Linked DNA regions of Saccharomyces cerevisiae S288C. The protein of the gene in region 2 purifies or fractionates together with the protein of the main gene of each other region. This does not show direct contact. Each region holds a gene or a part of one and is shown on either strand. Other genes may lie near its edges. The genes, in order: ARA1 and DSE4.

Region 1 (16,123 bases), on a different chromosome or scaffold from region 2:
GAGCCAAGCGGAATGTTTTCAAGGCTTTCTTTGTTTCGAAGGGCAGCTCTGGCTCCTGCCCCTATGAGAATGTCTTTTAGGACTATTTATCAAAAAACCGAGGATGAATTGCCCAGAAGGATCGTCCCAAAGCTAGCCACATTTTATTCGGCGAATCCTAACCATGAAGATCGTATTAATCGACTCGAAAGACTTCTAAGGAAATACATAAAACTGCCATCTCAGAACAACAATGAAGCACAACAAACAAAAGCTCCTTGGATTTCTTTCGATGAGTACGCTTTAATCGGCGGTGGTACGAAATTAAAGCCTACGCAATATACTCAGCTACTGTATATGTTGAATAAACTTCACAACATTGATCCTCAACTTACTAATGATGAAATCACATCCGAACTATCCCAATATTATAAAAAAAGTTCAATGCTTTCCAATAATATCAAAATCAAAACTTTAGATGAGTTTGGAAGAAGTATAGCCGTTGGAAAAAGGAAAAGTTCCACTGCGAAAGTATTCGTTGTTAGAGGTACAGGTGAGATATTAGTTAATGGTCGACAATTGAATGATTACTTCCTTAAGATGAAAGACAGAGAATCAATCATGTATCCACTTCAAGTGATCGAATCAGTTGGAAAGTACAATATTTTTGCGACAACGTCTGGAGGCGGACCTACGGGTCAGGCTGAATCAATCATGCACGCCATTGCGAAAGCTTTGGTTGTGTTCAATCCATTATTAAAATCCAGACTACATAAAGCTGGCGTCTTAACAAGAGATTACAGGCACGTCGAAAGAAAGAAGCCAGGAAAAAAGAAGGCAAGAAAGATGCCAACATGGGTCAAGAGATAGTCTTAGTGCATCTTGTTACCTCAATTTCGAACGGAAGCGTGCGTGCTCTGAGTTTTTTGACACATGCCAGAAGAAACGTTATATATTTTGCATACAACGCCGCCCAGCATTAGAAGCACAACTCTCGTTCGTTATTCCTGTAAATAAAGTTATATGTATTCGAATATTGCTCAGTTAGTATTTTCTTCTACTTACTGCACATAATACTTCATCTTTTTTTTCCTCTCACCCGCAAAGCAAAGGGGCCTTGCAGCAATGACTCAAATTCCATTGGAAAAAAGAAGGAGATGATAAGATGCAAATCAGAATAGATTTTACTATGACCGTTACATGTAAAAAGAGTCATAATATAAACCATAAATACTACAAATAACACCGGGTTCAGGCATATAAATAAACTATTCTCCTGTAATATCCCACAATATTTTGTTATAACCCAGACGTAATAGCCTCAAGCGAGCATCCCTAAATTTCTGCCATGAAGCTGATCCCAATTATTTTGAATGCTAAGAATCTCAGTGGGATGGCTGGATCCATATCAATATGCTGTTGGATTGTTGTGTTTGTACCACAGATTTATGAAAACTTCCGAAGACAGTCTGCGGAGGGATTATCACTGCTTTTCATTGTGTTGTGGCTATTAGGTGATATATTTAACGTCATGGGAGCTATGATGCAAAATTTACTCCCAACCATGATAATTTTAGCTGCTTACTATACATTGGCAGATTTAATTTTGTTAATACAGTGCATGTGGTATGACAAGGAGAAGAAGAGCATTTTACAAGAAGTCAAGAAAAATGTTGATCCTGTGCATTTGCCTCCAGCAAACCCCATAAATGAGACTGTCTTACAAGACGTTTTTAATGAATATGAGCCACTTTTGCCAAGGATAGAAGAAGAAGATAGCCAATCGTATAGCTCGCTTGAGCTTGGCAGAACAATAGTCGTAAAGGAAAGAGAGAATTTTTTCAATGACTTCTTAATTGTTTCAGGTGTACTTATTGCCGGAATTTTGTCATGGTATATATCTTACTGTTCCGGCCTAGATAACGGTATTCCTAAAAAAAAACCTGCGTTCGAACAGATTAATTTACCTGCACAAATTTTAGGGTATTTAAGTGCGATACTGTACTTGGGCTCTAGGATCCCTCAGATTGTTCTTAACTTCAAAAGAAAATCATGCGAAGGAGTCTCATTCCTATTCTTTTTATTTGCATGCTTAGGGAACACTTCTTTCATAATCTCAGTGCTCTCAGCATCTTGGCTTATCGGTAGCGCTGGTACGCTGTTGATGGACTTCACAGTTTTTATTCAATTTTTCCTTTACGCCAAACCTAAATACGAGAAAATACTAATAGATAATTAACTAGTTGGCTTCTATTAATCTTTCCACTTAAAACTCAAACTTACTCATATGCGCATCGGCTATAGCCCAGAACTAGTATTTTCATTTTATGGAGGAAACAAAATTACTAGCGCCATCACGGCTCAGTCGTTATTTTGGCGATGCCCTTTGCTGACACGCGTCTGAAAAAATACACAAAAAATAACACAAAAACGAGTAATGCCATTTCCTGGGTGGGGTCTCTATCCATAGAGGAAAAAAAGTGACAGGAAGGGGACAAATTCAACTATTCACTGTAGTCATCTAATAATTTTTTTAACTTAATCACACCAACAAAAACAAAAAAAAGCTAAAACTAGGTTGAAGGATTTTAAGAGAAGTTATTGCACCGGTGTATTAACATATATAAGGATACGTACGAACATAACATCATGTCCAGCTTAGCCGATACAGTAGAGGGTAGCGAGGCCAAACGCGGCAGATTTTCCAACAATGCATTAACCTCCGATACTGGTATTTTACAGAAAAATAGTACATTAAGAAACTGGTTTTTAAAACCGACAGCAGACCTAAAAAATAGTTGCGAAGATAGAGTTGAAGATGACGTCAATGATGTCTACTTAAATGACAAAAACTCACAAAAATCTGTTGAAGAAAGAAAACTAGGAAGAAAAGTTAGATCTTTTTTCAAACAAACAAACTCAAATAAGGACGAGTCTGTGTTGGAAGATGAAGATGATGCGTTAGTTTGGAAGAAAACTAGCAATAAGTGTGCAAAAAAGGAAAATTCCCATGACATCCAAAAAGGAAGTTTCACAAAAAAAATCAGAAACAGTATTTTCAAGAGTGCAAATGACGTGAAAGAATTCAGGAATGAAAATAACTTACTATTGCCCGTTGAACTTTCTTCTGATGATGAGAATGAGTCTCATTTCACTGATGCTAACTCACATGTTATGCAATCAAAAAGTCCCGAGAAAATACCTTCCAAGGATCAATGCTTGACTAAAGGCGCTAAGAATAAAGGTCTGAAAAAGGAATATGAAAAAAGTTTTGAAGAGTATAGCGACGACAGTGACGATGAATTTTCTCCTGCTACTCCACCGGAGAATGTTCTTGAAGGTCCTTACAAATTTGTGTTTCAGACACCAAACACATTTACATCTCAGCCTAATATAACAGTAGAAAATGATTTTCACAAAGGTGGGAGACATGTGATTGACTATCTGAACAAAAAATTGGCTACTATGAACATTGATATTGATTTGACTTCAGGGGGGAAACAAAACGTATCTTGGGAGGAAGAGCTCGACCAATTGAGCGACCACGTTATAGAAAGTATTACTAACCACATTTCAAAGGGTAGAATGCACGCACAAGAGAAGCAAGATGAGTTGGAAAAGTTAAAATTGGAGAATTTGAACTTGTCAACATTAAAGCAAGAAAATCTCCAACATAAGCAGGAAATTAACTCATTGAAAGACAACCTTGAATCCATTAGTAAAAAAAACAATGATCTTATATTGGAAATGAACAAATTGAAAAAAAAAAGTACGAATAATAAAACAAATGAGTACATATCTACGGATGAAAACGAAAATGAGGAGATTACCAAATCCAATATGGGTCCTGGCATTTTAGAACTGAACGTCAACGAAACTTCAAAAAAATTACAGCAATCCACATTCAAACCCTCGAAATATCTTCCAAGAGAAACGAGAAACAATGAAAATAGATTAAAACACTTGGAAAAGAGAATATTTGGCTTAGAAAAATCTCTTGAAAAAAAAAAAAAACAGGTAAGGGCTGACAGCGTTAGATTAGACTTGAATAGATATACTATCGACCAGTTTTTGACATTACTGAAAAGCCTCAGCGAGGTTTTGCAATTCCACAATGTTTATGGCAATGATTTGAAGGAAAACGACGATAATATTATAAAGATTGAAACCTGCTGTAGTGCGCTAAACATGAAAAATTGTTTCGAAGACTCCTCATTTCGTTTACAAGAAAACAGCTTCAAGAGGCAATTGGGCCCTCTGTTCGCAAACATCAACTTCTCCTTAATCGACCAACTGACAATGAACTTCAGGTTCTACGAGAGATCTGCCAATTTCCAGAAGGAAACAATAGGTGGGTTAAGAATGATGCTACAAGATAAGGATAACTATATCAAAACACTGATGCAACATTTGAAGAAAAAAGAGAGTACAAAGTTGATAAAAGACAGCAAGAATGGCGCCTCCACCTTAACATCTTAACAATTTCGTTTACTGAAAATGCTACTAGTATATAATCATTAAGTATCTAACTATCACTCAATAAAAATATTATAGATCGCTTAAAAACTCGTTTATTGCCGATTATAAATCCACCAAAAGCCGCTCTACCCTTACCTCCGCCTGGAAAAATTATAATATATAAAGTGAGCCTCGTAATACAGGGGTAAAAAGGAAAGAGGGGGATATCAAGCATCTGGACTTATTTGCACTATCTCCGCCTTCAATTGATAAAAGCGTCTTGATTTTAATCAACTGCTATCATGTCTTCTTCAGTAGCCTCAACCGAAAACATAGTCGAAAATATGTTGCATCCAAAGACTACAGAAATATACTTTTCACTCAACAATGGTGTTCGTATCCCAGCACTGGGTTTGGGGACAGCAAATCCTCACGAAAAGTTAGCTGAAACAAAACAAGCCGTAAAAGCTGCAATCAAAGCTGGATACAGGCACATTGATACTGCTTGGGCCTACGAGACAGAGCCATTCGTAGGTGAAGCCATCAAGGAGTTATTAGAAGATGGATCTATCAAAAGGGAGGATCTTTTCATAACCACAAAAGTGTGGCCGGTTCTATGGGACGAAGTGGACAGATCATTGAATGAATCTTTGAAAGCTTTAGGCTTGGAATACGTCGACTTGCTCTTGCAACATTGGCCGCTATGTTTTGAAAAGATTAAGGACCCTAAGGGGATCAGCGGACTGGTGAAGACTCCGGTTGATGATTCTGGAAAAACAATGTATGCTGCCGACGGTGACTATTTAGAAACTTACAAGCAATTGGAAAAAATTTACCTTGATCCTAACGATCATCGTGTGAGAGCCATTGGTGTCTCAAATTTTTCCATTGAGTATTTGGAACGTCTCATTAAGGAATGCAGAGTTAAGCCAACGGTGAACCAAGTGGAAACTCACCCTCACTTACCACAAATGGAACTAAGAAAGTTCTGCTTTATGCACGACATTCTGTTAACAGCATACTCACCATTAGGTTCCCATGGCGCACCAAACTTGAAAATCCCACTAGTGAAAAAGCTTGCCGAAAAGTACAATGTCACAGGAAATGACTTGCTAATTTCTTACCATATTAGACAAGGCACTATCGTAATTCCGAGATCCTTGAATCCAGTTAGGATTTCCTCGAGTATTGAATTCGCATCTTTGACAAAGGATGAATTACAAGAGTTGAACGACTTCGGTGAAAAATACCCAGTGAGATTCATCGATGAGCCATTTGCAGCCATCCTTCCAGAGTTTACTGGTAACGGACCAAACTTGGACAATTTAAAGTATTAAGACAACGACTTTATTTTCACTTTATTTAGTTCGCTTCTTAATCTTGTCAAAAACAAGATATTGTGTAATCGCCTCAAGTAAACAATATGTTTTTCATACGTGATTTGAAGTTTTTAAGTATCTGAAATACATACGCGCGCGTATGCATATGTATTAGTTAAATTACTCGAATGTCCTTTATATAATATTACATTTTTACACACACATTCTTGAAGAAGAAATCCCGATCGTAAAAAAAAACACCGTGCTCCAAATGGCCTTCAATCTTTTCGAATAATTTATTCGATTGTTCATTCTCATCTCTATAATCATTCGCCGTACGTTCAGGATATGACGCATCAAGCAGCGAAGCTAAACCTGTTGGAAATAAAGATCTGTCATAGTCATCGTCTTCTTCATCATCATCAGCACCATTATTACTATAATCATCATCATTGTCATCATCATCATCATCATCATCATCATCATCATCATCATCATCATCATCATCATCATCATCATTAATATTGTTGTCATTGTCATTATTGTTACTGTTACTGTAGTTATTGTTATTATTATTAATAGTACTACTACTATTATTGCCATTTTTATTATTATTATTATTATTATTATTATTATCGTCAGTATCATCAGCGCCAGTAGTCTCGTTATTATCAGTATTGGTACCATTACTATGATGATATTCCTCGCCTGGCTCAAGAGTTTTATTTTCCCACAATTTCGGAATGCTTGAAAATTGCAAGAAGTTCAAATCCTGGATTGTTATTTCATTGAAAATATTGAAGGACACTTCCATTTTTTCTTGGTCCTCTGTAACGAAACTACCAAATGCAGCCATCTTCTCTTTATTTATGAACGAAGTTTTCAAGAGCTCGACCATATCATCTTTTGATTCTCTCGTATGCTTAACTAACCTATTGAGAACACCCTCATAATAATTTGAATCAAAGGCATAGAATTTTGCGTATTTACTTGTCAGATTGAACTTTTCCATCGTACTCCGTAGAAAAAAAGTGTAAAAAAAAAGAGATGTTTGCCACTTCAGATTGTGTACTGAAAGACAGCGTTCTTCAGATCCAAGCATACGGGTATGTGTATCCCTCAATAATCCAATTATATAACCAGTCTCCATGGCATGTTCGTCATTAACCATAATCTCTGACAAATACAGAAACATGGAAAAAACCGTTGTGAGAGAAAAATACAGAAACTCATTCTGAACAGTAGGGTAGTATTCAAAATCTTTCAAAATATTAAGTACTTCGATGCAATTTCGCTTGAAATCCAATCTTGACCTTCTAATAATTTCAGCTATATCATGCCGGGAACTTTCCCGTTGATCTAAGTTATCTCCAATGATGGATATGACAAATAAACTCAGGGTTATCTTTTGATGGTACCATCTGAGGTGTAATAGAATAGTAGTACAACAACTCACTTCAAAATCTAACTTCGAAGAATCCAAAGATAAAATCCTCATGTTTTCCTTGTAATTTTCTAATGATAATATGGTGGGCAAATCGTCTCGCATTCTATCTAACGCCTTTTGATTTTCCAGTACATTTTCAATGATTTCATCTAGTGTATCGTCTAAAGTTGTTCTGATGGAAAAACATGAGTAATATATTTGAGACTCTATGAGGGATAATCTCGACAAAAAATATGATTGAATGTATGGTACATATTCAAGGTGATTCGCGAGTAAGTTTACAACGGATACAATATCTTTCACCCCTTCTAGTTTTGAATCATCGTATTTTATAGAAAGATTGGGCAGAATTTTATCTCTGAATAGTTCAACATAGCTTTCATCTGTTAATACATCAGTGTTTTCCTCCTTGAGAAAGGGCGGTCTTGACAACACCACAGAAAAGAATTTGTCTGTTGAAAAACAATAACACCACAAGCGTCTTCTTTTAATGATTTCATCAAGTTCTAGATCCTCATAGGTGGAATGTAAATTGAGCCGTAAATCCAAAGCCACTTTGATAGCAACGGATAGTACTTTGACCGCTGATGAAGCACTTATTTTTTGTTGGGCAAACTTTGCCAGTAACAGTAATGCCTTTAATGCCGTCATATCTGCGCGTGCTACAGACAGTTTATGGTAGTAATAGACAGAATTGAGAAAAGTGAAAGATCTGAGTCTCCATAATTCGAACTTCTCAAAATAATAGGTTTCATGATTATCTTCATCAACTAGCTCCTGCTTCTCCTCAAAATTTGTAACGGTGGCCCCAAGGCAGAGGCAGATATTTAGCAAAAATGCCTGTGATGATGTCAATCTTCCTTTAGCAGGATCAAAGTGCACGTCGGCAAATTGCAAACATTGATCTACATCCACTATGTGGAGAAGAGAGGCTAATGATGGACATTTTATATTTTTGAGCAAACGCTTTGCAATTGCTAAACGGGGCAGAGGATACAAAATATTATCACTAGATGGTGATGATGCGGATCGGAAAGAGAAGTCCAGGACCAGCTTGGTCTGTAAAATAGAATATTTGAAAGTAGTAGTAAACATTTCATTAATGGGCGAAAGAAATTCTTCGTCAGTTAAATGTGATAAAACATTTTGTCGAAAATGAAACATTTTTTGTTTTGTTAACAAGGCCTTTGAATATTGCTTTCTTTTAGGCCTTTTCATGTATTCTTTATCAATGACGTCAATTTTGCTTTTTTCAGCTAGCTTCTCTATTGTTCCCTTCATGTTTTTACAAATCTCTTCCAAAACAAAAACTTTCCCAGCAACCTTCGTATGGTTGAGTTCAATTTTTTCAAGCACTGTCCTGTCAATAGGAACAAAGTCAGGCCAAGTATCTTCTTTATCGCTTGCACTTTTGCCGGCAGAAACTCCAATATATTCTTGTGATAAGTTGGTGTGTAATTTCGGCGAGCTGTCTGTAGAAGAAGTATTTCTTGATCGCACGGCGATATCAAAATTTTCATCCTTGAACTTATTCTCCTTATCCAACCTCGGCTTCTTAACCGACTTCCCATTTCCCTTGTTATTCAAAGCTTCTTCTCGCCTTCTTTTCAGTTCTTCATGGAAATGAAACGTGCAATCTTTATTATACTTGATACAGTTTCTACATTTACCAGAAATCGGCTCGATTTCCGTACATCTAATCTTCCTCTTCCGACAATAATCACATGCTTTAGTCACTCTACTTTTGAAAGACTCCATGTTATATGCCAGAAAATTCTTATCAGCAGGCATCATATGAGCTAATGGGTGATGTCTTAAACGGTGATCCGGAAAAGGGCTCAACTGAGGCGACATTATTGTACCAGTTGGAACAGGCGGAAAATTTGATGGTACTGGAGGCATCGCAGGGACAGCGGGGCCCATTAAAACTCTTGTATTTTCGACTCTTTGATTATGTTTCTGGTTAGCTGCCCACTCAGAACTTTGCTTTTGTGTCTTATCCATGCTTCCATGACTACTTGTAATACCAGAATCCATATTCATTCACACAACTCCTGCTGGGCTTGTAATCATTGTTAACTTAAAAAAGAGTAGTCGTAATATAAAGTTTACTCTATTTTAAGTAGACTTTGGGCAGTGGCTGAAAATAGGCATGATAAATCAACATTTTCTGGCGGAGTAGGGTCAAAATGAAAATGTGGACCCTTTAGGGTATTATAAATATTTTTTAAAGGGCAATTTGAACTTTTTAGGTGCAAAGAAAATTCTGAAGGTATAAAAAAGAGGGTTCACCGGTGCTGCGGAAATAAAAGCGGAAATAAAGATGGAAATAAGGGCTAAAAGTTTCTTAAAACAAGTGCAAGGAGAGGGAGAGTTCCACTCTTGGCGCTGATGATATCTTCTATTTATATTGTTGAGATCATATGATGATAACGCAAAGTTGAAATTCTAACCGAATAGTAGTATAACATACTGGTTTTCTTTCTGTTCGAGGTATAAGAAAAGAAAGTACTTGGCTATATTCGGAGGAGGCAAGAAGGCGGCCAAGAGAGAGATATCTTCTTTGTCCTTTGAATTATGGCTTTTTTGAATATTTTCAAGCAAAAACGTGGTGATGAAGCTTCACAACTGAGCGCAAAGGGACGGGAGGAAATTTCTCAATCGATTAAGATATGCAAAAGTGACGATGCTGCTAACGAACATAGCTGCTCTGGTGATTGCAAAACAGAAATTGAAGAAGGAGAGCAGGCCTTTGCGAAACTAAAGATCGAACATGAAACTCCTTTGTTGAACTCTTCTAAAACGCCAAAAATTCACTTCGTTGTCCCCACCTCTCAAATCGATTGGCAGCATGATGCCTGCCTCGAGGACCCAAAGTCAGTACAGTATAAAATTTCCCAGTGGTGTGATAAGAATTCAGCTAAATTTTCCAACGTGGGCACAGGCAAGACACTAAACTGTGCAGTTTCATCTTTACCTAAAGATATCATGGATATTGATGTTATGCGGGGAACCAAGAATAATGTACTTATTTTGCCTTACTTCATTTGGCTGAACGACCTTAGATCAGATGACGTCGAAGCAACGCTGGATGGTTTAGTTCCTGACTTATTAGACGAGAATATTTCAAGAGAGAAATTGCTAGAAACACGACCAAATGTTGCCGTTGCACGTGAACGTGCATTTGTATTTATATGTTCACATACTACGAGGGATAAACGATGCGGGATTACGGCACCCTATTTAAAGAAAGTTTTTGACAGTAAATTACAGGAACATGGGCTGTATAGGGACAATTCGGATTACAGGGCAGAGGGTGTCAAAATTGCATTTGTTAATCATGTTGGTGGTCACAAATTTGCTGCAAATGTTCAAATTTATTTACGAAATCCAAATACCTTAATTTGGTTGGGAAGAGTAACTCCAACCATAGTTCCTTCTATTGTCGAACATCTGATTGTTCCTGAAGAACCAACGTTGCCGTTTCCCGAAAAAGTTCGCTGTATTAAGAAATATCAAAGCTGGTAAAGGTTGGCCAGCAAAATACAATCTTTTGACGCCATAAAATTTGCCATCAGAGTAGCTTTTAAATGTACATAGTTCTAAAGCACGCATATATATTTATAACGCTAAGATGATAATGAAAAGTTTTATTTGCAAAAGGGATCCTGTATTTCAACTTTCCATACATGAAAGATTCTTTGGCCATTTTCTTAATCCATTTCATATTTTCATCTGATTTTTTTTCTGTTTTCCACTTGCTGCTCATTATTTCATTTTATAATTTTTGCAAACATGCAATATTTCGCCATATATTGAGAAAAGCAATTCTTCGTTGTTCCCAGTAAAGAAAGAACAAATGCAGATTTCTACCGCCACCGCTAGATTAAGAATTTTTTTTGGTTACTGATTTGAATCACATACGATGAGTTTTAGACATTTCAAGAGGAGACTTGACACAAGCTCAGCAGATGAAAGCTCTTCGGCGGATGAAGAGCATCCAGACCAAAACGTATCTCTAACAGAAAAATCAGCCTCATTAAGCCATAGTGATTTGGGCGGCGAAATTTTAAATGGTACAGGAAAGAACCGCACCCCCAATGATGGCCAAGAATCAAATGAAAGTGATGGGAGTCCCGAAAGTGATGAGAGTCCCGAAAGTGAAGAAAGTAGCGACAACAGTGATTCGAGCGATAGTGACGATATGAGACCTTTACCGAGGCCATTATTTATGAAGAAAAAGGCCAATAATTTGCAGAAAGCTACCAAGATAGATCAACCCTGGAATGCCCAAGATGACGCACGAGTTCTGCAAACAAAGAAGGAAAATATGATAAAAAACATCGACAAAGCTAATCAAGTGGCAAAGAACTACGAAACGATGAAGCTGAGACTTAACACCAATTACAGCACCAACGAAGAATTGATCAAGCAGTGCTTGCTCTTAGATGATAACGATGAAGTCGATTCAGAAAAGGAGAGACAGAAATGGTTTGAAAGGCAGAACGAACGAAAGCAAAAGCATAGAAGAATACAACTTGCGAAACAAAGAGAATCAGAAGAATATGAGGCAAAACGATTTGAAGCGATGCAAAAAGGCAAAGATGGGAATACCAAATACGACGTTATCTTGGACAAGGAGAAAGAGAAACTTGATCACAAAAAACAAAGATCGGCTGAAAAAGTAGAAAAATCTCACAATAACAACCGTTACAAGATTACAAGAACTAAAAATGTTGAATTTGGTGACCTAGGCAAGAATAGTAGAGATTACGAAGAAACTGAATATTCGGTTATATAACACCGCATCACACACACAAACCCACATGCCTTTCAGTTAGTTGATGTCGGGAAAATCCCGAAACAGAAAAAAGAGGCAAAGATGAAGATATCAAATTTTTTCGCAGAACCATTACATCTGGCTTTGGATACGATGAAACAATCTAGCAGAAATACAGTACCAACCTATTGGTAGCTTCTTTGTATTACTATCAACATTTTTAGAAGATATGTCTTTGACACCACTGTGTGAAGATTTACCACAATTTCTGCAAAACTATCTACCGAATGCTGGTCAAACGGAAAATACCATTGTGCCCTTTGTCACACTAACTTATGCTCAATCGCTCGACGCGAGAGTATCTAGGGGCCCTGGAGTGAGGACTACAATTTCACATCCCGAGACCAAAACAATGACGCATTATTTGAGACATCATCACGATGGAATACTCGTAGGAAGTGGAACAGTGCTAGCTGATAATCCTGGATTGAATTGTAAATGGGGTCCCGATCCGGCTGCAAATTCCCCAAGGCCAATAATAATAGATACAAAGCAAAAGTGGCGATTTGATGGTTCAAAAATGCAAGAACTTTTTATTAAACGACAGGGTAAGCCGCCAATCGTTGTTGTCACAAGTGAGCCCATTATAAAAGAACAACATGTAGACTACGCAATTTGTCCAATAAATGATACTACGAAATTGGTCGATTGGAAGAAATTGTTTGAGATATTAAAAGAAGAATTCAATATAAGGTCAGTAATGGTTGAAGGAGGTGCCAATGTAATAAATCAGTTGTTGCTGAGGAGCGATATTGTCAACAGTCTTATAATAACTATTGGATCAACATTTCTGGGTAGCTCAGGCACCGAAGTTAGCCCACCCCAAACAGTAAATTTAAAGGATATGTCATGGTGGAAGGGCATTACCGATGTGGTGCTTTGTGCGAGACTGGCCGATGACTAATAGTGTTAGAACTCCACCTTCTGTGTAATTTCTTTCTGAAATTAGTGAAAAAAACGCGCCTTTCAAATTTTCATACTAGTGATTGGTTTATTGCAGATTATTTATTTCTAATTGTACATATTCTTGTTATTTTATATTATATGAAAGGGGTAAATCCAAATGCCACTCTACATACAGATTCTGTAACTGGCATAACGACCAGAGGTTTCACTTTTTCTTATGATTTTAACTACTTCGCCTCTTTTCAATCCCAAGTATAAGGCTACAGGATCAGCTCTTTGAATTCTTGGCAATTGGGATTCCTTCAATCTATACCTTTTTAAAAGCTCTCTTTTCTCATCACTACTCAATCTGATATGCTTTGGAACCAATTCGTGGTGAGTAATATTAACCACTAAGGCAGCTTCATTAAAAGTTTCAATGGTGGCTGGTGGTATAGAAGGCACCAATTTCATTGCACTTGGTGTAATATTATTTTGGTAAACAAAGATACCTGTTTGGAAATTTTTTTCTTGAATATGTATAACAAAAGTCTTCATTGTCTTTACACCAACGGAAGGCTCATCACAAAATTCTACCCATAAGGAGCCCATGTCTGGGAACTTTGATATAGATTCTTCTGTTGGATTTGCCTGGAAGGACATCATTTTACGTTGTGGTCTGCCCATGGAGTCACAATACTTGGCCTTGAAATCTTCCAATGGCAATTCGACTTCCTCTTGAGTGATAAAATAACCCCTGTCCTTAACCATTTCTTTTACTGTTCTGAATGCTCTCCATAATCTTGAGATGTTTCTTTCATTTTCTTGGTCCATTGTCTTAGCTTATTAGTAATATCCACCTGCGCACAAATTTTGTAAATCCCCTACTAATTTAATTTGAATTCAAATTGGCTCGTGATCTGTTGACCCTTGTTAGCAACGTTTGTAATCTTCCTCACCGAATTGCGTCGTTTTGAATAATATATATGATTGAAAATTTTTCAAGAGAAAAGAAAAATTTTTCCTTCCGCGGTCAGCCATTGCTAAAAAAAGGCCTCCGTTAGGAGTCGAATAGAGGACAACAACAATACATTGCCACTTTAATTTTAAATGCTTGCATATTAACTAGCGATCAGATGCTCTGCTCTATATAAAATAAATTATTGATACGGTTTCTAGTCTCGGTTGATGATAAGAGTACGTTAATCCACCTACCGAGCATTACCAAGATATCTGGCACTTTATATGTAGAGAGTCTGTGTTCTCAAGTTTACTTGTGCGGATAATGAGCTTAAAGACTTAAATACTAAAAGCGTATGCGTTCGTATCTCTGTTTAGGCACCTTGTACAGTTTCACAGAAAACTGTGTAATGTGTGATTATAGTACACAGAACAAAATAACTTCACCTCATCTCTTTCTTAACGCAGTGAGGAAAAAGGTGGAAAAAAAAGAAAGAAAAAAAGAATATGTGTAATTTCCGGCACTTTTCAGAGCGATGAGCTTAAATTCAAAAGCAGCATTGAATTAAAAGTGAGGTCTTGAGCACTACATTCTAGCAAGTAAAAGAAAAGAATAAATTGGTTTTGCATCTAGAATGAGCTCCGTTAACGCAAATGGAGGATATACCAAACCACAAAAATATGTGCCAGGGCCAGGTGATCCTGAACTTCCACCCCAACTATCCGAATTTAAAGATAAAACATCGGATGAAATCTTGAAAGAAATGAACAGAATGCCTTTTTTCATGACCAAGTTGGATGAAACAGACGGTGCAGGTGGTGAAAACGTGGAGTTAGAAGCTTTAAAGGCATTAGCTTATGAAGGCGAACCACACGAAATCGCTGAAAATTTCAAGAAGCAAGGTAACGAACTATACAAAGCAAAAAGATTCAAGGATGCAAGGGAACTTTACTCAAAGGGCTTGGCTGTAGAATGCGAAGATAAATCAATAAATGAGTCACTATATGCCAATAGAGCGGCATGTGAGTTAGAGCTGAAAAATTACAGGAGGTGTATCGAGGACTGCAGTAAAGCTCTAACTATTAACCCCAAGAATGTTAAGTGCTACTATCGTACAAGCAAGGCTTTTTTCCAATTAAACAAGTTGGAGGAGGCCAAATCAGCCGCAACATTTGCCAATCAAAGGATTGACCCAGAGAACAAATCAATTTTGAATATGTTATCAGTGATTGATAGAAAAGAACAAGAATTGAAAGCAAAAGAAGAAAAACAGCAAAGAGAAGCTCAGGAACGTGAAAACAAGAAAATTATGTTAGAGAGCGCAATGACGCTGAGAAACATAACTAACATCAAAACTCACTCTCCAGTAGAGTTACTTAATGAGGGTAAAATAAGGCTAGAAGACCCAATGGATTTTGAATCTCAATTGATCTATCCCGCATTAATTATGTACCCCACGCAAGATGAATTTGATTTTGTAGGTGAAGTAAGTGAGTTAACTACTGTGCAAGAACTTGTTGACCTAGTTTTGGAAGGGCCGCAAGAACGCTTCAAAAAAGAAGGTAAGGAAAACTTCACACCAAAGAAAGTGTTGGTGTTCATGGAAACAAAGGCAGGTGGTTTGATTAAAGCTGGTAAGAAACTGACATTTCACGATATCTTGAAGAAAGAGTCGCCAGATGTACCATTGTTCGATAACGCTTTGAAAATATATATTGTGCCAAAGGTAGAAAGTGAAGGGTGGATTTCCAAGTGGGATAAGCAAAAAGCCTTAGAAAGAAGATCTGTGTGAAGTGTCAAATAGTTAAAAATATGTAACGCAAAGTTGTAGATAGAAATAACAAAGCAAGAAGGAAAAGTAAAGAAAGTGAACGATATACGTAATGCAGGGGGAATACCAGAGTATTTAAAGTGTACTTGATTTAATGTTAACCAGTTTGAATTTTTCTTTTCTGGGGTAATCGAATTCAAGACCTTTTGGGCACAATTTGACGCGGTTTCAACCTGTTTAGCCTAGGATTTGGGAAAATTTCATCGGTGTGCAAAGGCGGAATTGGTCCAAAGATAGTTTGTGGATTTATATCTTGCTGTCTTATCAATTGCTCTTGCAAATACGGGGATTTAGCCCATGCCGCTAAAGTTACGCTAGCCTCATCTTCAGAATCAGTATTTATCTCTGGTAAAGAATCATTGACAGAGGCTATCTTTGGGGTCACATTTCCGATTATTTCTCG
Region 2 (18,084 bases):
GATGTGTAGCTAAGAATTAAATAGTAAACGTCTTCTGAAACCTTTTAAGAGGTAATTATTGGTATTCCAAATTCATATGTGGAGGTAAGGGAGACACAAAATTATCTGGAATGACAGCGTGCTGACACCTATAAGGTTCCGTAACTTCAAATGCCTTCATTACTCAACATAGGAAAAGTGAAAGTGTGTGCCTCTAAAATATACGGAACATCGTCGAACTAAAAAAATCCATTAAGCAAAGTCAGAAACAGCATGCACTACAAGACATTTGGTTCATCATGAAGAATGCTCAATTGAACCATCAATCACTTTCTCTTGTTCGATGTTAGCATTATCCTCACTATCAGTTGAATCCTCAATGCTTTCGGTTTCAGTCCTCGCATCTTCCTGAACTTCAAGATCTAAAAGAGGCTCACTCTCTTCCAGACTGGTCTCCAAGCGGTCCACGGTATCACGTAATGCCTTCACACAAGCCTTCAAAACAGATCTTGTGCTTGACCCATTTTCCTTAGCTTGAGATAGGACTGTGATATAAGAAGCATATGTGGTAGCGAGAAATAGTATGAATAAAACGGCTTCTGGTAAAATATCTATTTTAGCAATCTTACAAGAACCTGAATAATCAAAGTTTATACCCCGTGGCATACTTGAGCAGGACATAGAACCAAATTTTGAAGCTAGAGTTACGAAAGCGGTAAACCACAGGACGGTCTGAACAATTTCCATCACGAATATTAACAGAACAGGCAAAAATCTCACAATCCCAAAATAAACTGAAGATATGATTGAAACAGCTAAGCTCAATCTAAGGATTCGATCCACTTTATAGTTTGTGATTATGGCAAAACTAGCTAACAACAAGTTAGTTACAGATAAGCCAAGTTGGAAATATCTTAGTACGTGGAAAGTAACGGATGTTGTTGTTAACTTTAACATATATGTATTGAGTTATTATTATAGATCTTGACTTGGTAACAAAATATCAAGCTGTAAGCACCGCCTGTATTCTCCTATTTATGGTTGATTATATTTTACTTCTGTTGAACCAAGAAAAAAATAGCAACTCGAAAAGTCGCTTATTCATTCACTTTTTTAATTTTTTTACATATCGCATACGTAATTGGAAACACGCAATTTTAACTTTGGGCAAATACATAAATCATTTTGAGAAGTTGGTTTTTAGTCTCCGAGAGATTATAAACCAACATCCTTAAAAGATAGTATTCATTTCTCACCTGCCAATGCAAGAGCAGATATTATTCAGCAAGCAGTACAGCAAATCGGAAGCGAATTCCAATGACAATTTGCAGAATAAGATTAGAATAATATATTGAGATTAAAGAAAAGGTTATGCGAATTGCCTAACGTCTTTAACTTTGAAGCGGCCAAACTCTAAAAAACCTTGGTTAAAATACAAGCTTTGGCGTCCATGCAAACTGATTACATCATTCAGTATAAAGTGCCATATAAAAGAGGCACACACTTTTCCACAACTGGTTTGAATATAATAGAAGAATAAATCAGAAGGAAACTTTAAATATTAGTAATATTTATTTATGGCCGCTAAAAGATTAGTCCGGATATATCACTATAGAAATGGTAAAGATAATACACTATCATTTCCAAATGTAAAATTTGTTGATAGAACGCCATAAAAAAGAGGCTGACTTTTTGTCGTCCAAGTTCTTCGAAAAAATATACGTCAATGGCACCCGATATATAGCTGGATTTGGACCAGTATATGTCTAAGGAAATCTAACACCTTTTTTTCCTGAGCCAAATAAGCGGTGGAATTGAAACAGCTACCAAAATCATACCAAATCCAACCGCAATTGAAAGCCCCAATCTTGTGCCATAAAGAGCTGCTAATACAATCGGTGCCACCAGTTTACCAATCCCAGAGATTGCTCCAATTGAAGGCATCAACTGGACCTTGAGTTTGGGGTCGATGTACATGGAAAAAAGGGCTGGAATGCTCGAAGCCAAAAAGTTGTACCCTAACAATGTAATCGACATCCCAGCTGAAAAAAATATACCAGAATTTGTGGGTGGCATTGATTTATGCTTCAAGGCTTCGGATGCTCCAATCATAAAAGCTTGTCCCAGCAATGAAACAAACAATGCAAAGATGGACAGAAAAACTTGACCGCTGTACAGCGAATCTTTTTTCTTTACCTCAACGGTCTCACTTCCAGTTGTATCTGACTCTTCTAATCCGCCATCTTTGGCTCTGCCGCAGGAGCACCCGACGTTTATTAACTTTGGAGCGAAATAGCTTCCAGTCACACCAAGTATAGATGCGACCATAAACGCTATGCCTTGAAACTTGGTGTCCCAGTTAACGTGGAGCGTCAGGAATAGTGGCATAAAATAAACTACTTCGCTCATAATAAATGACGATAGGAACATGCTCCATAGTAAAATCAAGCAGGAGATGAGTTTTTTTCTTTCGACTCTAAAAAATTGTTTCAGAGCACTGAAAAGGCTATTTTCCGAATTTGTAACTTTAACCTCAGGATTTTCCAGAACGACAACTAATAAAAGGCATACTGCAAGAATTATGAAACTGGAGGCAAATGTCGGTGCATTGTAAGAGGCAATGCGATACCCTTTAATTTTAAAATCGCAATATCCAAAAAATATGACAATTAATTGTGCCAACGCCATGAAGATACCAGCCGCTGCTCGATAAATTGATAGAAGCTTGAAAACGATACCCCTATCTTGTGCAATTGACATGATGTAACTGAACACTATAGCACCAGAAGCAGATGCTGCACCACATATAATACGCCCACCGAGAAGGGTGTTTAGCGACACTGCACCGCCGCATGAATACAAAAAATTACCCACAAAGGATAAAAAGTAAAGCCCCACTATTACCCATTTAATGGACCCAAGAAAAGCAGCAATATCCCCAATAATGAATGAAACAAAAACTTGAACTGCTGCAGAAATGGCTTGAATTCTGAACAAGAATTTGTCCGGATTGGTTTCTCCGTTCTCTAAATTGTTAGCATACTAGTTCATTGAAATTATCTTAGATTTACATTAACACTTACTTCTTTGATGTAGTCAACCACACTTGAGAGATATACACAGGAGTCGAAACTGAATTGGACAGCTATCAAAATTACAGCCAAGTATTTCAAAAACATGTGTTTCTTGACACCTAAGATTTTTTTCATTTTAATTTATTGTACCACCGTCGAGTGAAATGGATGGATTTGTAATGCAATTGAGATACAATTAAGAAGAACGAAAGAGTACTTGACAACTAGAAAGTAATGTTAACTGATCTTTTATATGATGATTATTTATTGACGGCGATTCTTTTCCAGATTAGGAAATTTTGTTCCGCTTAGAATGGGATAGGCTTGTTTGGGCGCTATACTTCTGTATCAAAATAGTAAAATCAACTTATTTTAGTAATAGAAGAGAACAGTAGGCGTTTGGTAATTCTAATTACCTAGACTGTCCCCCATTTCCAGACAGCTGTCCCATATTTTTTTGAGATTCCGACGTCGAAGCGAAAGACTAGAAGAATAAGTAAAGTGGTCCTTTGTAAGCATAAAGACAAAGGCATGTGAGAAAAGTAAGTGTCTTCGCGATTCGCCGTTGTAAATATGTATCAGCTTTTTTTACTGCCTTTTCCTGGCGGATCACAGTAATGTATTTTTTTTTTTATATAATTCGAGCTCTACACTCAAGCATACATATATAGAATAGCTCAGTTTTAATGGGCTTTCTCGAGAACTATTCACCCAGAAGGATATCCTGAGCCTTATATTTAGATGTAACTTAGTAAAGTGAGAGTATTATGAATAACTTTTGAAGCTAACAAAATATCAGAAATTAAACTTCATTCAAGAATGTATTTATCTAGAAACTGGTCTTTGGCAAATGGCTCCGATGGCACACATGCAATGTTCTTGGTAAAAACTAATTTATTATTAGGCCAGTACAGAATAAAAGTTGTCATAAGAAAACTTCATTACATTTTATCTCCTCTGGCAAGTATCCAAATTCGAAAACCTCAGAAACCAGCGTTCCACCTAAAGTTTGTTTGCCCGTATGTTAAAACAGTAGCTGCCAAGTCACTTGAGTTTGAAGAATAATCTGATGCTTTTTACATAGAGGTCTATTAGGCTCTTTACTTTGTAAGCATCTCGACTTAAAAAAAAAATCTATTGTTTTTACGGGCATCGCTGAAAAACTGTGTCTGTTCTCTTTGATGCTGTCATCTAAGATTCAATTAAAGTCGACCATCAAGTTCCCTTAATAATATCCCTTGTGAGAGCTTAATCTAAAACTACAAAAGCGTTCGCAACAAGCAGTATGGACAGATCTAAGGACGCTAGAAAGAGATCTATTAGTTTGGCCTGTACTGTGTGTAGGAAACGAAAGTTGAAGTGCGATGGGAACAAGCCATGTGGAAGATGTATAAGGCTAAATACACCAAAAGAATGCATTTATAATATTGATAAAAGGAAAGACAAGAGAAAAATCAAAAACGGGTCGAAGGTTTTTTTATTCAAGAATAATACTATCGATAACGGGAATAACTCTATACTAGAGAACAAAGGACTAAATGAAGACCTTTCTTCTCATATATATGAGAAAGAAGCGCCAAAATTCGATTCAGATATTGATATATCAAGATTTGGCACAAATGATGCTGTGATTTTTAATAATGACGGGTGGGACACTTCTCTTCCGATCGATTTTGATTTCGATGAGTTTAACACTGAGACAACAGATTTCGATGACTTTTTAAAACTATTAGGCGATAATTCACCTTCAAAGGAACAAAAAAGTCTTTCCTATTCACCTACTGCTACAGGCTTAAGCGGTGTGGTTAAAGAAACTGAGAGCGAAGATAACGCTCCTACGAGGTCTCGGCTAATCGATGTCTTGTTTGAGAACAAGCTTCACTCCGTACCAGGAATATCAAAATGGCATCTATATGAGCTGGAATCCCAATACCCAAATTTGGAATGTACAGAAGGAAATAGTGATGAAAAGTTTTTACTTTCAACTGTATTGTGCCTGGGGTCGTTGACCATACGAAAAAGGGAACTATTGAATCATTCGAACATAGACAATCGTCCACTTTTGCCGGAGAATAGTATTTCAAAACTGACCACTGATGCTTTTAAGTACTATAATGCTGCGAAAACGCTTGTTCCCGACTTGTTATCTCATCCCACAATCGATGGATTTTGCGGCCTCGTTCTAATGGCAAATTTCATGACGATGATGATATCCTTAGAGCACCAATTATATTTGAGTATAAATGCTTTACAACTTGCTGTGGCTTTAAACTTGAACAACAATACAAAATGCAAGGAATTACTTGAGTCGAACAGCGACGGAATTGGTGTGATCTTGCTTTTTTGGAACATTTGGTGTTCTTCTTGCATGTTGGCAACAATTCATGGAAAAAATCCTTTTATCACTTTGGAACAAATTACAACACCTCTGCCGTGTGAAATATCCCCCCGCAATAAAACTAATAAACTTTTGATAGATTTCATGCAAATCAGAATCAAGCTAGCCACTCTACAAAGTAAGATTTTTCAACGGCTATATACTTCCAGCACCGCAAACGAGGTACCATTCGTAAACTTAGAAAGAGAATTTGAGGAGGTTTCACTCCAGATTACCAGGTTAAAAGGCTTTCCGATATTCGAAGAACATCTTTTTTACAGGAGCAGAGTCTTAATGTTAGAGCTATCATGTTTAAGAGCTCAAGCTTCTTTTCTATTATATCGTCCGTATCTGATCACTGGAGAATCCTTACAAGCAGTAACCATGGCAAAATCAATAATTCACGAAATATGGAGTCAATACACTAAACAGTTTCCCGATAACGAAAAGGAAAGGCATGAACGTTTGGATTGGAATTTTTGTTATCCTTTAAGAACAGCGTCACTGACATTATGTATTTCATGTATTATACTCCTAAGGTATAAGCAGGTGGTGCAGTTCCTTAAAGGTACTGAACTATTTGAATACATTCTAGCATTGGAAATATTGCAAGATTTAGTTCAGGTACTTCCTATTGAACAAAACCTTATTGATATAATCAAATATCCGATCAGTCCAGTACAGCTGAGTGGTGATAGCTTTGTCGAATTTTGGGGTCGCATACTTTACTAAACCGTTTCCTAGCTGATTTTTTGACACTTTATTCAGAAATGACCTTTTGAGATACAAGTTTACTAGGGGAAAGATCCATATGACATGGTAGTAGGTTTACCCTTCAAAACAACATAGATCGTAAAAAAGGTGGCTGAAGAACTTACTAAAAATGTTATATGCTTAGATTAATATATTGTCACCGGGCTACCAGTACAAACCCTTGATAATGCGACCAGACATCTGTTTTGACTTATTTATGAGCAATAATGGGTAACAAAAGAACGCTCTGAGGCAACTCTATGTGAGTCGAAACATATGTGTTTTTGGCAATTAAACAAAATACGAGAGATTCTTCTCAGAAAACATTGTCACAAGAACTTAGTATCTTTAATTTTCTGCAAACATACTGATGATTTCTTCGGCAATAGCAACTACGTGAGTTTCAAGCGCAAAATGGCCAGTATCATAGTAAACAACCTTTAAATTATCAACGTCTTTCCGATAAGCTTCAGCCCCGGCAACGCTAAAAATAGTATCATTCGCACCCCATGCAACTAGCACAGGAATCTTTGAATCTCTCAAGAACTTTTGAAAGGCTGGGTACAACTTTATATTATTCTGATAATCGAAAAATAATCTCAATTGAATATCGGTCTGGCCGGTACGCTGAATTAGCGCAATATCAAGCGTATAAGCGGCGGGATCAACAGATTCGATAGCTGGTACTCCATCATGGTACTGGCATATGACATTAGCTGGATCTTCAAGGTACGGGATAAGGGATTTAACAAATACCGGATCACTTTGATATGACTTCCAATATTCCTTCAACGGACCCCAAAAGCGGTCATCGAGACCCTCTTCGTAAGCATTACCGTTTTGAGTAACAATGCCAGTAATTCTGGAGGGAAACTTCAAGGCTAACCGAAAACCTACCGGAGATCCATAATCAAATATATACATGGCAAATTTTTCAATACTCAAAGTATCTAACAAATATCCTATACTTTCACAAAGGGAATCAAAGCTGAACTTGTAGTTTTCTGGCGTTTCCGTAAATCCGAACCCAGGAAGATCCGGAGCAATGATGTGAAACTGTCCAGCTAGTAAGGGAATGAGGTTCCTGAACATGTTGGAAGATGTAGGGAACCCATGTAGCAATAAAATTGTGGGGTTACCTGCTGCACCGGCCTCACGGTACCAAACCTTTACACCGTCTTGAACTTGAATCTTGTGAAATCTTGCAATGATATTTGACATTTTTGTCCTTCGTCCAATTCTGACAGTGAAAGAAAAGTGGTCAAGTTCAGTTAATTTGATCGTGCTTATATATGTTCTTTTTGGCTCCTATCACTTTTGGCTCCTATCACTTTTGAAATTTCTGTCACGATTATGTGCGGCGCAGTCCCTAGGCAAGTTACAGACGAATGGCATGCAGCGCCGTCTGTGGAAAAGATGAATACTGAATTATCATACCTTTAAATGACTATGTTAATAACAAAGGTGAATGGAGATTTAGAAAATGCACAATATTGAGAAAATGCATATGCGTACTTTTTGTTAGCAAACATACGATTATTTAGTCTATTAAAAAAATCTATTTACTCGTCCTCGTTGCGCACAGCAGTTGAATCAGGCTTGTGAATAGCACTACGTGCTGGCAATGCGTCTGGAATATTGCTAGTGGCAGGCTGGTCTATCTGTGACGTGTGCTCTTGTTCGGGTCTGTAAGCATCTTCTTGTTCAATTTCAAAATTACTGTCTTGACTTGTGAAACTGGATAAATCGTTAGCATCTTCATGCAAGCCATCTGATTCATCTGAAAACTGACCCTGAAGCAGCGAAGAGTAAGTAGGACCTTTTCTGTTGCCAAACCTTGCCCTTAATTTTGAAGAAAAGCGTGCTACACCTGCCTTCGTGCGTTGAAATGCAGACTTGGTAATTAAAGAAATGCATAATCCTAGTCTTACAATGATGTTGACAACTCTATCGGTCCTATTGTTTTCTATCAGCCCATCGTCTCCTAATCTTATTTCTTCAAATCTTGAAAATCCCCCATTTCTCCTGATACCTCTATCGTATACAAACCATGCGGCAAAGAAAATAACGAGAAGAATTGTAACAAAAACCAGCGCATAAGCGCCGGTGTTTATAGAATATTTTTCCCTGAATGCCTTTTCTTTTCCCGGACAAGGATGTGGTGCTAAATGTGCATCCAATTTCAGCCCACCTTTACAGGTTGATAAGGGAATTTTTCGATAGCCAGAGGAATCATAGTATTCAATTAAGTCGGGTTCCTTTTTGCAGATATCGGCACCATTCGCCGAACTTAAGCCTTTGACTAATTTACAAGTACCATCACTGGCTTTATAAAAATTATAGTCACATTCGAAATCTTGCCTCGTACATGAACAGTTTTTGACGTTCCTCGAAAATTCAGAAAGTGGAATATTCCCAATAAAACATTTTTCATCGGTTTTACGTAAAAACTCGGTTTGATGACCAAATAGACAACCAGTTCTGGAACCCAGAGGAGAGTACTTAAAATCTGCCCTTTTTTTACCCGTAATATCAAACTCACATTGCCTCTCGAAGATGTTTCTAAAATCAATTGTATACGTTCTGAATGAACCACTACCCATGTTTTTTGCTTCTCCAAATAGCAAAAACCTCAAAGCAGAATCTCTGGGAACGGTGATTATATCCTTTACGAGGACTTTGTCGCCACAGAATTTATAATCTTTCCATGTTTTACCAAAATCGGTGGAGTAAGAAATAGAATCAGTTTCTGCGTTTTCGGGGACCAAAACCAAGACTCCACCATGATCACCGTACTCCCATTGATGGGGGCCTTTTTTAACCTCAGTCCACGTCTCTCCTCCATCAGTGGTTAAAAAAGTGGAACACTCCTCATATGGTAGAAGCTTATCGCCAACATTTCCGACACCAAACATCATTCCTAACGCGGAACCGGAGGAATATGTATCCCTGATATCCTTACGTTCAGTGTAACCATGCAAATGTAGAGAACATTTATCTAATGATACAGAATCACAGGGAAACTTTTTCCCTTCCGAATCCTTCTTTGGAGGCTTCAAAAAGTTCCAATCTGAACCGTCATTAAAGGTGATTTTCGTCTTCAATTGTTCGTCTTCCTTGTTCTCTCCAACCTTTTCCCTATTCGAAACGATGTTGGTAATAATAATACCTTCAAGACCTTGAACTTTTTCAAAGTCGACATAACCGAATGTGTTTCTATTAACGGCATGCTCTAAAGTGACAAAAGAAGTACCATTCGAGTTGGATTTCAAAAGGTTTCCAAAATCGTGTCCTGATTCTAAGTTTGTTGCTAAATGTAAAAATATCGATCCTTTCTCAGATCCTAAAATAGTGAATGCCTCTTGCTTACTAACATCTTGACCATACGGGAATTTTGCCTCGGCAAACTCAGTACCATCAATAGTTACATATGCCCTCAACTCATTGTCTTCATGAGGTACGGCAACAATAATATAGCCACCAGTGGACAAGTAGCCGATAATGTTTTCAAAGATAATTTTATTATCACCTTGGAAAAAATCTATCGAAGAAACCAAGCTTCTTGTTTCTGAAGACTTCTTTTTTACTTGGCACATAACCATCTCCTCATTTGACGGATATTCAAAGAGTGTGCCTGCAAACTCACAATGAATTGCATTATCAAGCATTTCTGTAAAAGTTTCACCTCCATCTTTGGTGAGGTATGCTACTGCATGACATTCTGGACTTAAGATTGATTCACAATTCTTGCCACCATAGTAAATAAAAGTATCCTGTGCTTTAGCACTAAAATCTAGTGGCATACCTAATTGCCTGGCTTCAGGTAATTTAGCTATCATAAAAGAGTGTCCTCTATCGTGTGTTGAGAATATGTTACCTTTAGAGCCAAACAAATATGCTGAAGAATTGAAATATGGGTTAAACACAACTTCAACAATTTTTTCGCCGTTAGTGTCAAACCTTTTTATTGTTTGTCCACCATCGTGGGATATATAGGCGTCTCCTATCGAATTCAGCATGACCAAAGATTCGTCGGCAACTGTATCGAAGTATTGGTAAAATTTAATTTCGAAGTCAAATTTGTTTTCAGTGGTCACTATTTCCCTGTCACTCGAACCCTCCTCTGGAATTTCGTCACACGGAATATCAACGGGTTCAATTTTCATGGGTGTTTTACATTCATCACCTTTGATTAATTGTAATGGCTCTACTAACACAGATTTATCCTTCGATTTGTCACATATGTTGGAAAAGGCAATCAGATTATAATCTGGTATACACAGGCCGTTTGCGTCCCTAACAAATTCAAACGAACATTCGTAGTCGGATTCACCACAACTATTACAAGGCGTTTCATCTAAACTCAAATCTTTGAATGCTTTTTTTACCAAACACTGGGCGTCTTGTTTCCTCCTTCTATACTTGTATTTGGCGCCATTAACACATTTCCCATCCGCCAAATCCCAATCTTCAAAATCTTCCTCCTCACACGTTCTAGAGTCGAATGCTGCTGAAAAATCAATTATATACTCGACACCTTTTAAAGAAGTTATACTGTTGGTTTCGGAATCGGTAGTGGCAAACGTTCCTTTAAAAATAAATTTTGAGCCAGATCCATCTGGTGTTGGATTTATCAATTTGTAGGGATGGACAGAACTTATGGCATTGGTCAGCTCATATTCATTCCATGTTCTACCTTGGTCCAAAGAATAATAAAATTCAGATTGAAAATCGCCATCTTCCTCTGGATCATATGGGATATACACAATAATATTTCCCAGGTCACCAGTAGCATATAACCCAGAAGAATTATGAACAAATCTCCACGTTAAACCGCCATCTCTAGAGATGAAAGTTTTTTGGTCTTCCCAATCGAATTCACTACCGTCGCCAACGGAACCTGTCATTAACATAATTCCGGCAGTAGGATTTGAGATTTAGATACTATAAAAAGGGTTCTGGAGCGAACATCTTTCAGGCCTAGTGATATCACAAGGGAATGAATCTGCATTTTCCTCGTCAACCACTTTCAAATTTGACCATGTGAGGCCGTTATCAACAGATATTTTAGTTTCATATCTGGCTATCTTTTTATTATATTTTCCTTTGTTATGAGAGTAGTCAAAGGAAGGATGAAACGAGCCAATTATTGTTCCTTCTAAGAAATGAGGAGAAGCAATATCAATATAACCAAAGTGAGGATTTATTGTCCATTCAACAGGTAAAAATTTCAACCCTTGAGAATCTGATATTAAAATTTCTGAGGGAGCTGGTTGGTCGTTTTTTTCATCTGTGAATATCGTAGATATAGGAATGATTATTCTTCCAATAGAATCTTCATAAATTCCATACATATGGACGTGCCGTACTTGAGCAGGTAGACGTGCCTTTTGAAAAGTAGACGCATCATTGGATATCCAGATGTCCATGGGTGACATTTCATTGTATCTATCATCTTGTGTCGAAACGATTATATGTGATTTTAATATCTTGTATTGATAAATAATTTTATCATTAAACTCATCAAATTTTTTGAAAGTTTTACCTCCATCAGTACTTAAGGCTAATTGTGTATATGCGGCACTTAAGTGACGATCGCTATCGTAACCATGGTTCGAGAACAAACATAGTATCGAAGCGTCGTTACCCTCAATATCAGAATCCTTGCTAGATTTGACAAAGTTGCAGCTTGAACTTGTTATATGGTCATCTTCTTTCTTTTTCAAGGAAGGTTCGATATTGTAAAAGGATTCCCCATCGTTGGTAAAGTAAGTTTCATTTTGTATTTGGATATAACCATTGTCGTTTATAAAGCAAGGGCAATCTGCAATAAGGTACTTTTTATCTGTCGGATGGGTAGCTATAGAGCAAGAAGTACCCAAACGACAGTTTTCAGAGACGGGTATAGTCAGAGCCCTCCATGATTTTCCACGATCATCGGTGACGTAAAATTTGGGTGATAAATGTATCGAAACAAAAGCCCTGTCCTGTCCATGCAAAGGATCAACAATTAATTCGAGAATATGCCCTTCAATTTCTTTGACCGCTTCCCAATTTTCTCCAGAATCGGAACTTATCCACACGACTTGATTATCTAATCTGATTAAACTGTTGGAATCGTCAAAGCTCTCTAGACTAAATGAATATTCTGAAAGAGTCTCCGTTACTTTGGGGACGAATTCCTCTGCATTGAGTAACGGAATAAAGAGACATGTCCAAATCGTGCATATGACTTGGAGTAATATCATAATTGAGGATCTCTTACCTTTTCTTAGTTCAAAGCTTTTTTTCAAAGCTCGGAACTTTATGCTACGATTCAATGACTAAAAAAAAGGTAGCGGATAATCTTTTGGTTGCAAATTGGCGGCATTTAAATATATTTTGGGTTGCAAATATTCTAAAAATATTCTCATAATATTCTAAAAATATCTAGCCTAGGTAATTGCAATTATTTTGAGTCTGGTTATTTTGAGTTGACCATGTTCACTTCCTTTTCAGTCATCAAGACAACGTGTTTACCATCTAATGGGGAATCAAACAGATAAAACTAGAAACTGAGCAAAAATACTTTGATTTGCTAATGTCGCCAGTAGTACGATAATACTATAAAGATATGCTGTTGAAGCTGATATTTAAAGAATGAGAATCTCTAAGGGATCATAGTCTAGAATGGTATTCTGCAAAACAAATTTTAAATGGTGAAAACTTTTCCTCACTATGTCCAATTGATGCTTCTTAGGATGACGTTAGAATTTTATTTTAGTGCAGGCATTACCTTGCTAAGTTCATTCATTAAAGTACTAATATACCTCTTACTGGCATGCATTTACCTAAGTGGTCTCCGTTAGCCGTGGTCTTTTCGAACGCAACAACTTTCAAGTTAAGTAAAAATGATTTATTCTATAAAATATGTATGTAGTGGGAAAGACTCGACAGACCTGCTTGCCAAGTTCTCTTTCTAAGCAATTGAGTTGGCCAGTCCCCCTGAAAATGCTAATGCCCATGTGCGACTCATTCCGTTATCCAAATATGTGGATGAATCAAAAGTTGAATCACTGAAAAATGCATACGAATCTACTGGGTCGAAGAGTGCTTGATTCAGCTTCAATATGCCTGTCCAGCCGCTTTCTATCGATTCAATAATTGGCTCGATTTTAGTCTGCCATTCTTCTTCGACGAAAGTCTCAGAACGAATATTAGAAGAAACTGGTGTGATAGGTAGCATATGAATACCGTGGATATATTCTGTGTTTGTTCCAAAATAAGTAGTATAATCGATAATATTATCGAATAAAATACCACTCACTTTATTTCCTATGATTTCTTCAGGCTCAACTGTGTTGTCATTTTGATAATAGAAATAGTCGTTCATTGCATCCTTCATTATACTAATCATCAAGTCACCCCTCAATTCCATTGACTGGTCACCGATAGTGGCCCCCCATAACTTCATAGCATAGGCAAAATTGTAATCTTCACTACTACTTTCTTCGTTCTTACCGTTACCGTTTTCATAAAGTCCAGCTGCCCATGAATGACCGTTGAACCAATCAAACATTCTCGATTGTGCAAAGTATTCATCTTTTTCAGATGGATTTGCGACATCTCTTACCAATGAATTGACCCAATCTTTATTGTCGGCAGCCCAAGTACCATTCAGTTTAGAGTCAACATAGCCGATGACAGCAGCTGCATGAATAATGTAACCATAATGGAAATGATGGTCATTGTAATAAGTGTTACCAAAATCGTATTGCGTGCTGGTGGAACCCCAATCTCCTGAACTGACCAAACCGTTGAACTTTGTGTCGTAAATTAGTGGATACGTCTGTTCATTTTGTAGCAGAATATCAAAGGCCGATTTGATGTTTTCCAAAGTACTCTTAGTACTGGCTTCATCTTGGATGATTTCGGAGACCGTTAATAGAATGTAAGAATACTTATCGATAACTTTACCCAAATAATATGTGTTTAACCCGCTTATACTTTCGGAAATACTAACCTGTAATTCGGAATTGGCAACTTCAGCTAATAATTGCAATTGTTCTTTAGAATACTCTAAAAGGTTTGAGCCAAGTTGAGAAGACCATGGTAACCAAGATATTTGTCTGTTTAGAGATGTGGAAAATTGTAGGCTCGTTGTTAGATAACCGTTCATTACACCCTTAGTTGTAGAAGCGAGTTGAATGCCGGTATAGTAGTCTTGCATTATATCACTAAATGAAGATTCATGATGGGGCAAGGCAAAAATCATTGTGCTACCTGATGCCGACTCACCTTGGGTGGTATAAGAAAATTCATAGGTAGCTGTAGAACCGTCAGAGACACCCTGCAGCTTGAAATTAGTAACGTACATACCTGCGGCTTGATCATAAAAGACCTCGTAATCAGTTTCAGAAGGTGCGACGGCCAATTGAATGATAAGACCATCAACACTAGCGCTTGCTTTAATTTCATATTCTGAGCTCACCTCCAATGAAAAGTCCGTTGAGGTTAAATCGTCTGGTCCTATCACGTAACATAACCAAGTGACTCCATTCAAAAGGGTGATACGATATTTGAGAATACCCTGAGCTAAATTGCTTGATGATTCAGAAACAATGGTATTGAATCCGACGCTGGAACCAATCTTGGCATTTAAAGATCCATGATATATACCAGTTGCAAATCCCATACCTTGAACCAAAGGTATTTCCAGGTAGTTCGAAGAATCATTGGATTCTGATAGCACTACCCTTGTTGAAGACAAGGTCATTTCATCAACTTGCATAGTCATACTTGAATCAAAATTCGAAGCTGAGAAAACAACATGAGCAATTCCCAAAGGATTGACCAAATATTCTGCATTACCGGAACTGTCATAACCACCGTAGCTATATTGATCTACTGTTGTATGTTGAACAGCAAAACCATATGAACTCGAGGTGTACTTCCACAATGAATAAGGATACACAAAGGCAGGTGATTCCTGACTACCAACAATCAAATTTGTATAAAACTTGTTTGTTTGAATGGGACCATCGTTTGACACCCCATCAGCCAATGACATAGGATTTGGTGATCTGTCAAAAACAGTTGGTGGTTCATCTGTCGAAACAGCATTGAAAAGATTGACAATGGTCGTTGTTGAAGAGTTCTCCGTTGTGGTAGCGGTGCTACTGGTCGAGGTTGACAGAGAAGAGGAGGAAGTTTTTGTTTGTCTCGAAGATGAGGACGAAGAGATGGTAGCTTGCATTGAAGAAGATACATAAATGGTATCTAATGTCGAAGAAACCGGAGAGGAAGAAGAATCTACTGTTGAAAATAGTGATGACAAAAGAATGTTTCCTGTTGAACTCGATGGATAAACTGGACTAACAGTCGATGATAGTGATGGTGATGGTGAAGAACCGTTTTCTGTAATGTTTGAAGGGTAAATTGGACTAGTTGTCGAATATAGTGATACAGATGGAGAAAGAGTGATTTGTGTCCTATTAGATGGGTAAGCAGGGCTTGCTGTTGTAGATGCGAGCGTCTGGACTAAATCCTGGGTTGAGTTGGATGGATAGAACAAAGTCGAGGAAGCAGGAGTTGAAGCAATGAAGGAATCTTCGCCGGTAGCTGTAGCTGCATTTGTCCTTACTGAAATAGTATATATCGTTTTATTCGAGGTCAATGAAGAAGGAATAATTTTTGTTTCTTGGGAAGAATAGGAAGGCATTTGAGTTACCAGTGGATCGATTGTACCTTTTGAAACAGAAGTCAATAAAGTTCCATTTAATTGTGTCCCCGAAATAGATAAAGATGAAGAAAATAAAGTCGAAGTCGAAGTCGAAGCAGTTTGAGATAATAATGTGGTGACTTTACGCATTGTTGATGCACTTGGCATGACTGAGGCGACGCCGGAAACCGAACTCAAATTGTGTACTGAACTTTTGCTTTTCGAATTATCATTTGCGTAAATATTTGAAACAGTGACAGGATCATTATTGGTTTGTGCGCTTATTTTTTGAGATACTTGGCTTGCGTAGTTTGATAACGACAATGACAGTTGAACTGCTGTTCTTGTATTAGAATCACTGTCTTGTGAATTAATTGGAGATGCGCTCACTCTATTTTTTGGCGAAACTGAGAGAGGGCTATGAGAAGCTGCAGATACTCTTGTTACAACCACCGATTGTGCAACATAAGGCTCACCTACTGTCAAAGTAGCGTAAGATAAAGTTTCAATTAAATCAGTTTCCAATATTTCGTCTGCATTATTCGATATGAAACTTATATATGAACATTCGACGAAACTTAATAGAAAAAGAAGTGTCAGATATAATTGCATACTAGCTGTTTTTTTGTTTTCTTTTCTGTATGCAGACCGTTACTATGGTTATCTACTTGTTGAAACAAGCACAAGAAACATACTTGATATTCATTTTTGAAACAAATTGCACCAAGTATTTATATGTAGTCCTTTACCCTCGCTTGTAGTCTTCGTATGGTGTATATGCTTTGCTACTCTTTTCATACCCAGCTCTTATTTTTAACTTTTTGGGTTCAGCTTTATGATTAACTAGTTTTTCCTTGGTAACCAAATTGGGAGATTTCGTGCCTTTTCTGCTGGCTTTCATAACAAAATATAGCCGAAAAGAGCTTAGCGCAGCTGAACTCGGTAACAAGGTTCAGGTAAAAAGGGGAGAAAAAAAGAAAAGAAAGCCAGATCTTTCAAAAATATGCCAGCAAATACCAAATTGGTCATAAAATAGCTAGCACTCCGCTATCGAGCAAGTTCTCTTGGCAAGCAGGCTTATTCTATTCTTTTGCTGAAGGAAAGGCCAGTTCTATGCTTATAACCTTAAGTAGGAAACATATGCGCAGCTTACAGCGCATAAAATTGATGGCAACCCATTTAGTGGTACTATTCCTGCGTTATTACTAGTATGGTCGCTTTAAAGAGTGGTAAGATTTCACATTTTCAAATCTAAAAAGCAAAGTTTATCACTTGAAATGTACCTCTCTGTGGGCTTTCACTACCTTGTACATTTTCTTAGCAGTTCCGTACATTTTTTTAAACAATGAAAATTCAAAGTTCTATGTATAGAGATTATTTAGGTTTTTAGTACTTAAAGTATTTTGAGAATACCTTGGCAAACGCAGAACAATCGTAAAAGAGATTGCTACTGCGCACTGTTTCCTTGCTTTATCACTTTCAGTTCTGCAAGAACTAAGGTGTTTATCAGTAATGATACTGTAATATCAATAGCGATAAAAACTTCGTCAGTGAAACCATTCTTTTTAACAGCCATCTATCAAATAAAAGAGTTTTTAACTTGAACTGGGATATCAATTTCAGCAGATCCAACACCTTTATCAAAATGAAGTTTTACGCGGAGGAAATATGACCTCGAGCATAAACAACTTTCAAAACTTGGCACTATGGTAGCTTTAAAATCATCATTATATTTTATATTCAATAACAGTGTTCTCTTATACTCAGTTGAACTGACCTGATTCCATTCATTTGATTTCCGATGTGAAAGTACCGAATGGTGATAGTTTGATGGGGAGGTTTTTTTATTCCTAGAAGTTCGAGGAATTATGCTGGATATAGGAGAAGAAGCAACAGGCACACTTTTCTCTCCAACCAACTTCGTTTTCAACGCATTTTTCATGACAACAACATTGGCTTCCATATTGGCTAAAACCTGTACGTCCTTAATTATACTCGAAGGCATTAAATCAGAAAAATCGAGCGATCTATTACGCAGGCTAGCTCTTGCGTCATCGGCAAGAAGTAAGTTTATTTTTGTTTGATTTTTAGTGAACTCATCGCGATATGCTTCAATGTTTTCCAAAATTTCCTTAAATATTTTCTTAATTTCATTGTATTTGTGCTTCTTTAAAAGTAAATCACTGTGGAACCTCACTGGT

Evidence for each region.
Region 1: the proteins of DSE4 (region 2) and ARA1 purify together in Saccharomyces cerevisiae (affinity purification with mass spectrometry, with the first as the bait; one large-scale study listed by BioGRID). This does not show direct contact.

What each region holds. Positions count from the first base shown.
Region 1 is NC_001134.8:535,248-551,370, forward strand, and holds ARA1 (D-arabinose 1-dehydrogenase (NAD(P)(+)) ARA1), read left to right. Parts: upstream 1-4,739; coding exon 4,740-5,774; downstream 5,775-16,123. Other genes in the region: mitochondrial 37S ribosomal protein uS9m MRPS9, read left to right, coding at 13-849; RTC2 (cationic amino acid transporter), read left to right, coding at 1,328-2,218; YSW1 (Ysw1p), read left to right, coding at 2,629-4,458; TBS1 (Tbs1p), read right to left, coding at 5,962-9,246; APD1 (Apd1p), read left to right, coding at 9,781-10,731; U4/U6-U5 snRNP complex subunit SPP381, read left to right, coding at 11,129-12,004; RIB7 (2,5-diamino-6-(ribosylamino)-4(3H)-pyrimidinone 5'-phosphate reductase), read left to right, coding at 12,213-12,947; DNA-directed RNA polymerase core subunit RPB5, read right to left, coding at 13,115-13,762; HSP70/90 family co-chaperone CNS1, read left to right, coding at 14,524-15,681; SLI15 (Sli15p), read right to left, coding at 15,857-16,123. UniProt on the Saccharomyces cerevisiae protein: Catalyzes the oxidation of D-arabinose, L-xylose, L-fucose and L-galactose in the presence of NADP(+).
Region 2 is NC_001146.8:742,605-760,688, forward strand, and holds DSE4 (endo-1,3(4)-beta-glucanase), read right to left. Parts: upstream 16,496-18,084; coding exon 13,142-16,495; downstream 1-13,141. Other genes in the region: YNR061C (uncharacterized protein), read right to left, coding at 277-936; PUL3 (Pul3p), read right to left, coding at 1,756-2,739; PUL4 (Pul4p), read left to right, coding at 4,339-6,162; YNR064C (epoxide hydrolase), read right to left, coding at 6,532-7,404; YNR065C (uncharacterized protein), read right to left, coding at 7,746-11,096; YNR066C (uncharacterized protein), read right to left, coding at 11,121-12,431; YNR068C (uncharacterized protein), read right to left, coding at 17,463-18,084.